Linked DNA regions of Arabidopsis thaliana. The protein of the gene in region 1 interacts with the protein of each later gene in a pairwise test. Each region holds a gene or a part of one and is shown in the gene's direction. Other genes may lie near its edges.

Region 1 (5,367 bases):
GTTCATTGCATAATTGAAATTGTCCCTTAAACAGGATAACATTTTGCATATGATGAAAGTACTCACCAACAGAGAGTTGACAGGTTTATTTCGTGCAACTTCACTCCTTTTCCATCTCAATTTTCCCTTTTGATTACATTTTTCCTTGCCACTGGATTGAAATTTCCTTTATTTCTTTGATGTAGATGGACGTGCAGTTGAACAAGGAAGTATACAACAACCTACTGTGCCCCCAACTGAGAAATCCATGGTATGCAATTGTTTGCAAGAAAAAAATGTATTGAATCACATTCCTTCAGACTTTTGAGCTTAATGGAACTGTTCTTCTGTTGAATCATAGCTTGAAGCAGCACACGAAAGAGAGAAAGAACTGCTCCATGACATAACCGACCTGCAATGGAGGTAACTATCGAAACCATCTCCTTGTATAGTTTAGATTAAAATCCATCATTCTCACTTGTTTTTGTGTGTGTTCATAGGCTCATTTGTGCAGAAGAAGAGCTTCAGAAATACAAAACCGAACACGCCCAAGTAAGTATGAGTAACTAAACACAATCGTTCTTATATGCAATCTTTTCAATTCCACTATATGTCAAAGATCAGTAAAACTCATCACTTGCCTGTTAAAATTCCAGGTTTGATTTCCTAAGAAGCCTGAGAAGATATGTGCTTAAGTAAAGAAGTTTGATTTCATCATCAACAATAAGTATTTTTAATAAGATAATACATCTAATGAAGGTAAGATTTGCTTTCAGATGTTTTGTCATTTGATTCATAAAATACATCACTCCCTAGTCCCTACTATCATTCTGTGTTATCTTTTTTTTTTTTTTTTTTAGTTTTTTAGGTTTGTTTAAGGAATATGTATTATGTACCATGGTAGCTATTTATAACCATGGTTACATAAGGATTTGTGTAATATTGATGATACAAAAAGCGTTATTGAGAAACATTTTCGTGAGATGGTGATTAAAAACATAGCATCTTGATAAACTAATGGGGTGTATGTGTTTTTGGATGCGTGTGAATGAATGCATCTCTCTCTCTCAACAAGTCAGTGGGACAACTAAAACTTGTCGTCGTGTCGCATTGGCCAGCACACAATCCGTGAATTCTATTACAGTCATAATTGCTTCTCTTTTAATGCTGCTCATATGTGTACATCTTTATTTATATTTTGTGTTATAGATTAGATGCTTATACCATATATATGAAGATGTGATTAACATAGGTTGTTCAATCTGTATAAATTAAAACGATTTAATTCATACCAAAATTGAAAACCCCAATTGGTTAGTAATTATGTACTTCCCAAAAGGCCAAATCAAGTAAACAACACATTAGATATTATCAACATTTATTTGATTTTAAAATTTGTTAAAGGTTAACACAAGTGGATACTTCAATTATATCATTTTTTGGAAGAAAGACAAAACGGAGTTATTATATTTTTTTCCAAAACTTGGCTGGCTTCAGAAATCAGAATTTAGGTTTAATAAAGGCAGAAAAGGACTTGTGGCTGATCAATTGTGAATACTTAACTAACCATTAATTAACAATCAAATTCGAACCATTACACACAGACAGACGACAACTTTGACACGTGGCAAAACGTAATTGGGTTATTTTCGGGTGAAATGGATGATACGATGCAGCCAAGAACCAAATTTTCCCACAATTATTATTGTTCAGAAAAGAAAAGAAAAAACACTCAAATGAAAGATCTCACGTGCGGAACCAAACTATGACCTTTGTCTGACCATTGCGTTTCTCTCTCTCTCTCAATTGTTCTATGAACTTTTTTTGGTAATTCTCTCTATCCAGAAGTGGAGTTAGTAGTAAACGTTGGTCTTTGTTGTGGGTCTGAAAGTATTAGCGTCGCTGTTTCCAAGTAATCCTAAATCAGTTCACAAGAATCTGATTTGAACAGATTGTGATGTTCTGTTTTCTTTCTCTTTTTTCCTTTTAATTCTCGCAATATGCAAAAGTATGAGTCTTTTTACCCGAGAAAATAGCAGTTTTCCCGAGAAAATAAACCAGAGGTCCCTAAAGCTAAAGCTAAAACTAAAAGCTAAAGTAGTGTGGATTTTCTAGATGCCAAGTTTCGTTTTTTGAGCCTTTTAAGCTCTTTTCTGGATTTCGTTTTTCTCGTTTCGCTCTATTCTTCGCCGAGCAAGTAATCATTGCCGACAACCCCCAGAAAAATCGTAGATTTCTTCAATCGGCGATTTAAAAAATTTGAACTTTTTCTTTAAAAGCTTTGAGCTCTTTTTTCTTCGGATTATTTTCAAAATGGGTCTGTGTTATTCAGTAGATAGGACTACTGGGAAGGAACCTGGAGAAGCAAGCTCCACCGCCACTACGGCGGAGACTGTGGAGGAGAGATCAGGCTCCGGAAGATGGCGGCGGCCGAGAGATTTAAAGGGTGGCGGCGATATCGAAGGGATTCCACAGGTTTTGGGTCGTTTGGTTTCGAATGGTTCAAGTAAGATTGCATGTCTTTACACACAGCAAGGCAAGAAAGGGACTAACCAAGACGCCATGCTCGTCTTTGAGGTTCGTTTCTTTTATCTTTCCAAAAATTCATCTTTTTTGCAACCCATTTGGATTTTATCAATACTCAAGAGGACAATTTCAGGGTATTTTGGTGGAGAAATGTTGTTCAATGTATGAGGAAGCTACTTGATTTGTTTGGATGTGTTTTGTTACAGATCAAATGGATCTTCAGAACATGATTGCATTAATCTTTTGTTGCTAGTGCTTAGTAAGAGAGAGAGAAACTTGGAATGATTCATCACTTTTCTGGGACCATTACAAAGCTTAGTGCTTTGAAGATTGAGGTGGCTTTGTTTTGCCATTTGTGTTGTTCTTGTGCTGTCTTGAGTCTTTGACCTGTTTCTACAGGGACCACTAGTTACTTGACACTTAGATTCTATTTCTGCTTACTTCCTTTTGTGTTACATTCACATATCAAGACAAGTTTCTAACTTATGAAAACTACTTCACTTTCCAGAACTTTTGTTCGAGAGACGATACAGTGTTTTGTGGTGTATTCGATGGACATGGACCATTTGGTCATATGGTTGCCAAGAAAGTCCGAGATACATTGCCCTTCACACTCTTAACCCAGTTGAAAATGACCTCAGAGTCAGATCAAAGCAGCTTAGTTGGTGCCAATGGTTTTCAGATCAAATGTACAGAGGAAGAAGAAGTGCAGACAACTGAGTCTGAACAAGTGCAGAAAACTGAGTCTGTTACTACTATGGATGAGCAATGGTGTGAGTTAAATCCAAATGTGAACAACGATGAACTTCCGGAGATGTATCTGCCTCTTAAACATGCGATGCTCAAGTCTTGTCAGCAGATAGATAAAGAGCTGAAAATGCATCCAACTATTGATTGCTTCTGCAGCGGAACAACTTCAGTCACTTTGATCAAGCAGGTTCTCAGCTTAGATCTGCTTGTAACCAAAAGACCATCATCGATTGTATATTAATTGCTGTAATTGTTCATAATGATTTCTTTTAGGGTGAGGATTTGGTGGTTGGAAATATTGGTGACTCGAGAGCCGTTCTTGCCACAAGAGACGAAGACAATGCTTTGCTCGCTGTACAATTAACTATAGACTTAAAACCGGATTTGCCAGGTACTTTATTACAAACCATGATATTAAACTCTGAGAGAAGCCAGAGGCAAAAGTTTCTCAACTTTCGCTTTCTATGTGTACTGTCAGGTGAATCAGCGAGAATCCAGAAATGTAAAGGAAGAGTCTTTGCATTGCAAGACGAGCCTGAGGTAGCTCGTGTATGGTTACCAAACAGTGATTCACCTGGTTTAGCAATGGCTCGAGCTTTTGGAGACTTTTGTCTCAAAGATTACGGATTAATCTCTGTTCCAGATATCAACTATCGCCGCCTAACGGAACGAGACCAATTCATTATTCTTGCTAGCGACGGGGTAAATTAAATCTTCAGTTACTAGCCACTAAATTGCAAACATTTTCCAAATCTTTAGAGCTGAAAAATGTTGTGTTTTCTGAATTGTATTAAAGGTATGGGATGTGTTGTCGAACAAAGAAGCTGTTGATATCGTTGCCTCAGCTCCTAGTAGAAGCACAGCGGCTCGAGCTCTAGTGGACACAGCGGTACGATCATGGAGAATCAAGTACCCAACTTCCAAGAACGATGACTGTACAGTAGTCTGTCTCTTTCTACAAGATTCATCAGTAGCCATGGAAGTCTCAACCAATGTAAAGAAGGATTCACCCAAAGAAGAGTCTATAGAGAGTGTCACTAACAGCACAAGCAAGGAGGAGGATGAGATTGTCCCCGTTAAAGACGAGAAAATCCCTGAGAGTTGCGGGATTGAGTCGAAAATGATGACAATGACACTTGCGGAATGTATCTCGGTTGCACAAGATGATGAAGAGTGGTCTGCTTTGGAAGGATTGACGAGGGTTAACAGTCTCTTGAGCATTCCAAGGTTTTTATCTGGTGAGCTCAGATCAACTAGTTGGAGAAAATGGTTGTGACTTTTTTTTGACTTAAGTGATTCTAAGTTAATGCCGACAAAAACACTTCATATCACGATGTTCCAACTTTTTTTCTTCTTCTCTTGGAAGTGATTTGCAGATATATAATCTTTCTTGTTTAAATTAGTCTTTCAGACATGTGAGAGATTGGTCATGTTAGCTGTAGATAAAGATCATAGTGAATTGGATCTTTTCTTGGATACTCTCTGTCTTTATATTTAATTAACTCTTATTACTACATGTTAGACACTTGGAAATTGAAGGAAGTGGCTTTTACGTTTTAATTATTTATTTTTGTTTTTGGAGATGGTTGGGTTTTTGGGAACTTTTTTTTTTATGGGTTCCACTATATTCTCTGTCTATTCTCAGCATAATGATCAAAGAAGGTTGCTTTGATTACAAAACAGAGCTTAACGGTAACCTAAGTTTACATCATTAATTTTGTAGTGGCTATTTGAAAGAAATTATTTTCTCCTTATTTGGAGATGTAACACTCAAGTGCTTTAATAACTAAAGTGCTTTGAAAAAAAGACACATGAACCGTTAAATTGACTTCGAAGAGAAGGAAAATTGATTGAAACCAACTTTTCTTGGTGTCACTCGTGTTCCTATTGGCACAATTCTCAGTACACATTTTTTTTGATGAGACAATTATGAATCTTGTCTCATAAGGAAGCTACTTTAATCTGTTTCTTCTTTCTCTATGATTTCACTTAAATATCAAACTTCAAGAACTCATGTCTCTTGAGGAACAATATGGTGGGTTCCAACACCGTAACCGCTACATCGCGGTTGCTCTTGATCTGTTTTGCTTACTCATTCACTGTCTTCTCAAT
Region 2 (6,072 bases), about 11 Mb from region 1:
AGGGCATCTAAAAGCTATTAGCTAGTGCGGAATCAGTAGGGTTTAGAAGATCCAAATCTTTTTTTCTTTCGAACAAAATAATCCACAAATTTTTAAAAATTGATTAATTTATCGATTTAAATCATTTTCTCAGAAAATGTAGAGATACCAACTTCTTTAGAAAATAGATTTTTCGCATGATTTAACAGTTCGTAACAAAATAAAAATTACTTTTTTGCCAAAAAAATAAATTAAATTAATTACTTATACATTAGTATATGTTGAAAAAGATTTCACTATAGAATTAACAAGAAGATAACATATGTAGTTAAACATATCGTAATAAATAAAAAATTAATCGATTTTTAAAGTTCGTATATTTGAATTTTTGATATTCTCATGACTTTTTTTTTCTTCAACAATATTCTCATGACAATAATACGTTTAATGGTGAATTTTGAGAATCTTTTACTGTAGTTAATTTTCAATAATAAACAACCAATTGTGGAAGCCTCTTTGATCGGTACTCAAGTTTTAGAGGTTTTTACATTAGAGAGTGGTTACAAATGCTAGAGATAAGACTGTTTATCGTTGGTATGACACATGTATATAATAATCGTCAGTAAAAGATCACGTTTTGCTGAGAAAACTGAACATCGTGGAATTGTTTGAAATCCGAATGATTGATCCTACTATATATAGTAGGATTAGATTAGGATATTTATGATGATAATATAGTAAAGAAGAAAATAAATTACAACCAAAATTATAACTTTCGAGTTCTCTAAAGGAAATTATTTAAATTAAGAAATATTTTCTATTTATGTAATATTTTCAATATAAATACAAATTAATTTACAGCAGCTTTATACTAAATATCAATAATTAACATGAGACATTTACGAATTAAAAAACTGTTTCAATTGTTACATGTCTATTAATATATAGAAGATGCATGTATATCGCCCCACTAGGCTATGATTCTTGTAATAATGATGCCAAATTGATATTGACCATATATTTTTCTCTCATTTTTTTTTTTTTTTGGTTCAGTGAAGTCGTGGTCGTCTCTCCATAATCAGAGTTGTTTTATTGGTGCATGTATTATTAGCTCCTCACCAAGTCACCAACCACTTTCCTTCTGACTTCTCAAAATTTAATGTTTCGTTTCGTTTTAGTTTTCGTAAAAAAATTCAACTGAATTATGGTTATAACTTATAAACTTTCATTAAATCAAAACATATTTCTAATGTTTTTCTTGCCTTTTTTTCTGGTGAACAATCAACATATATTTTTCAGTAAGCTCCATACCCTCGTCAGATTTATTACAGATCAATGAAGTGTAGCTTATTGGCAGAAAGACAATCTTCTTCAATGACTTAACCAGATGAATATTTAGTTAAAACAATAGTTTAAATATTTTAAAATCGAAATTATTGGTGAAATTTTAAGATTAGCTAAATTTTCCCCGTAATGTCATTGTCTAACTCGAATTTAGAAATTCTGCATTTTTGTTATACGTCAACGCCTCTTAACGTAAAAAAATTCACAATTGGTCACCTCTACCAAAAGGTTGACTTTGAGCTCATCATAATAGTAACCAGTACTAACGCGGTTCAGACAAAAAGAAAACAATTCCATCTTTCATTTCTTTAATTACACCACATATATCTTCTTTTGATTCTTCACTTTCTAGTCTCACAAAAACAAGGAAACAATTAAAACCAAAGTGACGAATATTAATGGCGTTTTCTTCTTGTTTTCTCTTAGTTCTTCTGCAAATCTTCTCAGCTTTACTTCTTTGTCTTGCTCAAGATCAGTCAGGTAAAAAAATATAACATCTTCATTGATTCAAAAGTTTCTTCTAAAGCTTTTTCTTTGCTTTGTTCTCAGGATTCATCAGTTTGGATTGCGGTTCGCCTAGAGAAACTAGCTTTCGTGAGAAAACAACAAACATTACTTACATTTCCGATGCGAATTTCATCAATACCGGTGTTGGTGGAAGCATCAAACAAGGATACCGGACTCAGTTTCAGCAACAAACATGGTATAATAAATAGCTTTCTCAAGATCAATGAATGTTATCTTAAAACCTAACACTTTTACTTCTTCCACAAGGAACCTACGGAGTTTTCCACAAGGCATAAGAAACTGCTATACCTTAAACCTAACCATAGGCGACGAATATCTAATCAGAGCCAATTTCCTTCACGGCGGTTATGACGACAAACCCTCAACGCAATTCGAGCTCTACCTCGGACCTAATCTTTGGTCTACAGTTACAACCACGAACGAGACCGAAGCATCAATCTTTGAGATGATTCATATCTTGACCACTGATCGTTTACAAATCTGTCTGGTCAAGACAGGAAACGCAACGCCTTTTATCTCCGCTTTAGAGCTTCGTAAACTCATGAACACAACTTACTTGACTCGACAAGGTTCCTTGCAGACCTTCATCAGAGCAGACGTTGGCGCGACTGTTAACCAAGGCTACAGGTTTATAAGTTTCAAAACCCTAATGTTAAAAGTTAGTCTGAAAAGGCTTCTAAATATACTCTGTTTTTCTTTGTCTTAGGTACGGAATCGATGTGTTTGATCGTGTCTGGACTCCGTATAATTTCGGAAACTGGTCACAGATTAGTACCAATCAGTCAGTGAATATAAACAATGACTATCAACCACCAGAGATTGCTATGGTCACAGCCTCTGTTCCAACAGACCCGGACGCAGCTATGAACATTTCGCTAGTCGGGGTGGAACGTACTGTGCAGTTCTACGTTTTTATGCATTTTGCAGAGATTCAAGAGCTCAAATCCAATGATACAAGAGAGTTCAACATCATGTACAATAACAAGCATATCTATGGACCTTTTAGACCACTTAATTTCACCACGTCTTCCGTATTTACACCTACCGAAGTTGTCGCCGATGCAAATGGGCAGTACATATTTTCGCTTCAAAGAACAGGAAATTCGACTTTACCTCCTCTGCTCAACGCTATGGAGATTTATTCGGTTAACTTGTTGCCGCAACAGGAAACTGATAGAAAAGAAGGTTGGTAAAACTTATTTCTTTATTGTTGATTAAGAACCAAACTTTTACTTACCTAATGAAAATATGTTTTCAGTTGATGCAATGATGAACATCAAGTCGGCTTACGGCGTGAACAAGATTGACTGGGAAGGAGATCCTTGCGTGCCGCTGGATTACAAGTGGTCTGGTGTTAATTGCACTTATGTTGACAATGAGACCCCAAAGATCATTTCTTTGTAAGTATAGAGTTTGTTCTGTTTTTAAAGCAGAGTTTTGATTTGTTCTTCTTCATATGATTTTCACAAAAGGTTTTTAATTGTTTTTTGATTTTTGGAAACAGGGATCTGTCTACAAGTGGCTTGACCGGAGAGATCTTAGAATTTATATCAGACCTTACCAGTTTAGAAGTTCTGTAAGTAGTTAACATGCTCAGAAAATGCATTAAAGTTTTGCTTTAAGTCGTATGTTTTGATGGGTTACATTTGATTTTCTTGCAGTGACTTGTCTAACAATTCTTTAACTGGTTCAGTCCCAGAGTTTCTAGCTAATATGGAAACCTTAAAACTCATGTAAGCTCAAACGCATTTTATTAACACCAAAAGGTTAACAAACGTTAACCTATATTCACTCTGTTTTGTATAGAAATCTATCTGGAAATGAGCTAAATGGCTCTATCCCTGCAACTCTCCTTGATAAAGAACGACGAGGATCTATTACGTTAAGGTAATAATCCGTGCTTATGAGGAAACAAATATCAAAAGAAGAATGAAATGCTTATGAGTTTTCTAATAATCAAAATTTTATTTTAATCTATGTGAAAACTCTAGTATCGAAGGAAATACCGGGCTTTGTTCATCTACATCATGCGCTACCACGAAAAAGAAGAAGAAAAACACTGTTATTGCACCTGTTGCAGCATCACTTGTTTCAGTATTCCTCATTGGAGCTGGAATCGTTACTTTCCTTATCCTCAAGAGGAAGAAGAGAACCAAGCTTGGTTTGAATCCTAATTCAGGAACTGGTACAACACCGTTACATTCGAGGTCTCACCACGGTTTTGAACCTCCCGTTATAGCGAAAAACCGGAAATTGACTTACATTGATGTTGTTAAGATCACAAACAACTTTGAGAGGGTTCTTGGTAGGGGTGGTTTTGGTGTGGTTTATTACGGCGTCTTGAATAATGAACCAGTTGCGGTAAAGATGCTCACTGAGTCCACTGCACTTGGTTACAAACAGTTTAAAGCCGAGGTAATAACAGATTGAACCAAATGTTTCTCTTAACTATTATTAGAAATGGTGTTTTGATTGCGTCTTGGATCTGTTTTTGTTTTGTTTACTTTTTAGGTTGAGTTGCTTCTTAGAGTTCATCACAAAGATCTCACATGTCTTGTTGGATATTGTGAAGAAGGAGATAAAATGTCTCTAATCTATGAGTTCATGGCGAATGGTGACTTGAAAGAGCACTTATCAGGTATGGTTTTTATACAAAATCAATGTTTTAACATTGTGGTTTTTAGTTTTATGATTCTGATATATATTGTTTCAAAAATTTGATTTCAGGGAAGCGTGGACCGTCGATACTAACTTGGGAAGGAAGGCTTCGTATAGCAGCGGAATCAGCGCAAGGATTGGAATATTTGCACAATGGATGCAAACCGCAAATAGTTCACCGCGACATTAAGACTACTAACATCTTATTAAACGAGAAATTTCAAGCTAAGCTTGCGGATTTCGGGCTTTCACGGTCTTTTCCACTTGGAACTGAAACTCACGTCTCAACCATAGTTGCTGGAACTCCCGGATATCTTGATCCTGAGTAAACCTTAAACACTTTTCTTTAAAACAACTATTGATTTTTCTTTTTCGTGTTAACTCTAAACATTGTGGCTTTTCCTTTTTCTCTTGTTTTTATTTTCCAGATACTACAGAACTAATTGGTTGACCGAGAAAAGTGATGTGTTCAGCTTTGGTGTTGTTCTACTAGAGCTAGTAACAAACCAACCCGTGATAGACATGAAAAGAGAAAAATCACACATAGCTGAATGGGTAGGTTTGATGCTATCAAGAGGAGACATTAACAGCATTGTAGATCCTAAGCTTCAAGGAGACTTTGATCCAAACACGATATGGAAAGTTGTTGAGACCGCAATGACTTGCCTGAATCCGTCTTCTTCACGGAGACCGACAATGACTCAAGTCGTAATGGATCTGAAAGAATGTCTGAACATGGAGATGGCAAGAAACATGGGAAGCCGTATGACGGATTCAACTAATGATTCTTCAATTGAGCTGTCCATGAATTTCACAACAGAGCTTAATCCAGGAGCTAGATGAATCAAATCTTATGTATAATTTGTTTGAAGCTAGAAGTTTCTTCGTACACACGTTTCTTTTGTTCTGTTTGTGATGAACAGAGTGAGTGTTACTTGTATTCTATTCCGGTTCTTTGTTATATAAAATTTTATTTTTTATAGTTCTTTGTTATTTAAAATTTTATTTTTTATATAATCTGAATGAAATTTAGTGTTGGTAGATGTATGTGGTGAAAATGACGACAAATATTTCTTATAGTAGCACAATACTTTTCTTCATGAAACGTTAGCCAAAGAAGTTTATATGAGGTTACTAGGTTTCTCTTTCAGTGAAAAGAACAAGGTATGTAAATTTTGAAAGTATATATATGAGTTAGCCCAACCCCACAGTGTTGGTTCTTCAAATTTTATATGAGGTAACTTCTAGGTTTTTCTTTTTTAATGAACATATTTTTGTCGGTAAATCATTAGAATTTTGCCAAATTGATGTCTGTCGAGATTCGGTAGAAAAGCCGCACTGTTTTTTTTTTTTGTAGTGATTTTAGGTTGTGCGGAGATGTTCACTCGGTCTTGGTAATAAAATTGTCCGACGAAAATATGTTCATTTAAAAATATCGGATATTTCCAACAGTAAATCGGAAATCTGTACGAATTTCAGAATTTTAATTTGGCAGAATACCAAAATTGGCGGTCTACTTATTTAGTATTATAAATATAAATATTACGATTTTTTATAAAATAA

Evidence for each region.
Region 2: the proteins of AT1G79630 (region 1) and IOS1 interact in a protein complementation assay, tested with the Arabidopsis thaliana proteins (one large-scale study listed by BioGRID).

Annotation. Positions count from the first base shown.
Region 1 is NC_003070.9:29,962,095-29,967,461, reverse strand, and holds AT1G79630 (Protein phosphatase 2C family protein), read left to right. Parts: upstream 1-1,686; 5' UTR 1,687-1,792; coding exon of another isoform or gene 1,793-1,806; 5' UTR 1,807-2,292; coding exon 2,293-2,556; exon of another isoform or gene 2,557-2,786; coding exon of another isoform or gene 2,787-2,840; exon of another isoform or gene 2,841-3,013; coding exon 3,014-3,442; intron 3,443-3,528; coding exon 3,529-3,646; intron 3,647-3,733; coding exon 3,734-3,957; intron 3,958-4,051; coding exon 4,052-4,531; 3' UTR 4,532-4,813; downstream 4,814-5,367. Other genes in the region: AT1G79640 (Protein kinase superfamily protein), read left to right, coding at 35-83, 186-250, 341-402, 480-549; AT1G79620 (Leucine-rich repeat protein kinase family protein), read left to right, coding at 5,288-5,367.
Region 2 is NC_003070.9:19,212,482-19,218,553, forward strand, and holds IOS1 (Leucine-rich repeat protein kinase family protein), read left to right. Parts: upstream 1-1,590; 5' UTR 1,591-1,721; coding exon 1,722-1,803; intron 1,804-1,872; coding exon 1,873-2,026; intron 2,027-2,097; coding exon 2,098-2,478; intron 2,479-2,557; coding exon 2,558-3,036; intron 3,037-3,109; coding exon 3,110-3,251; intron 3,252-3,355; coding exon 3,356-3,427; intron 3,428-3,512; coding exon 3,513-3,584; intron 3,585-3,657; coding exon 3,658-3,738; intron 3,739-3,842; coding exon 3,843-4,266; intron 4,267-4,362; coding exon 4,363-4,489; intron 4,490-4,578; coding exon 4,579-4,834; intron 4,835-4,937; coding exon 4,938-5,352; 3' UTR 5,353-5,572; downstream 5,573-6,072.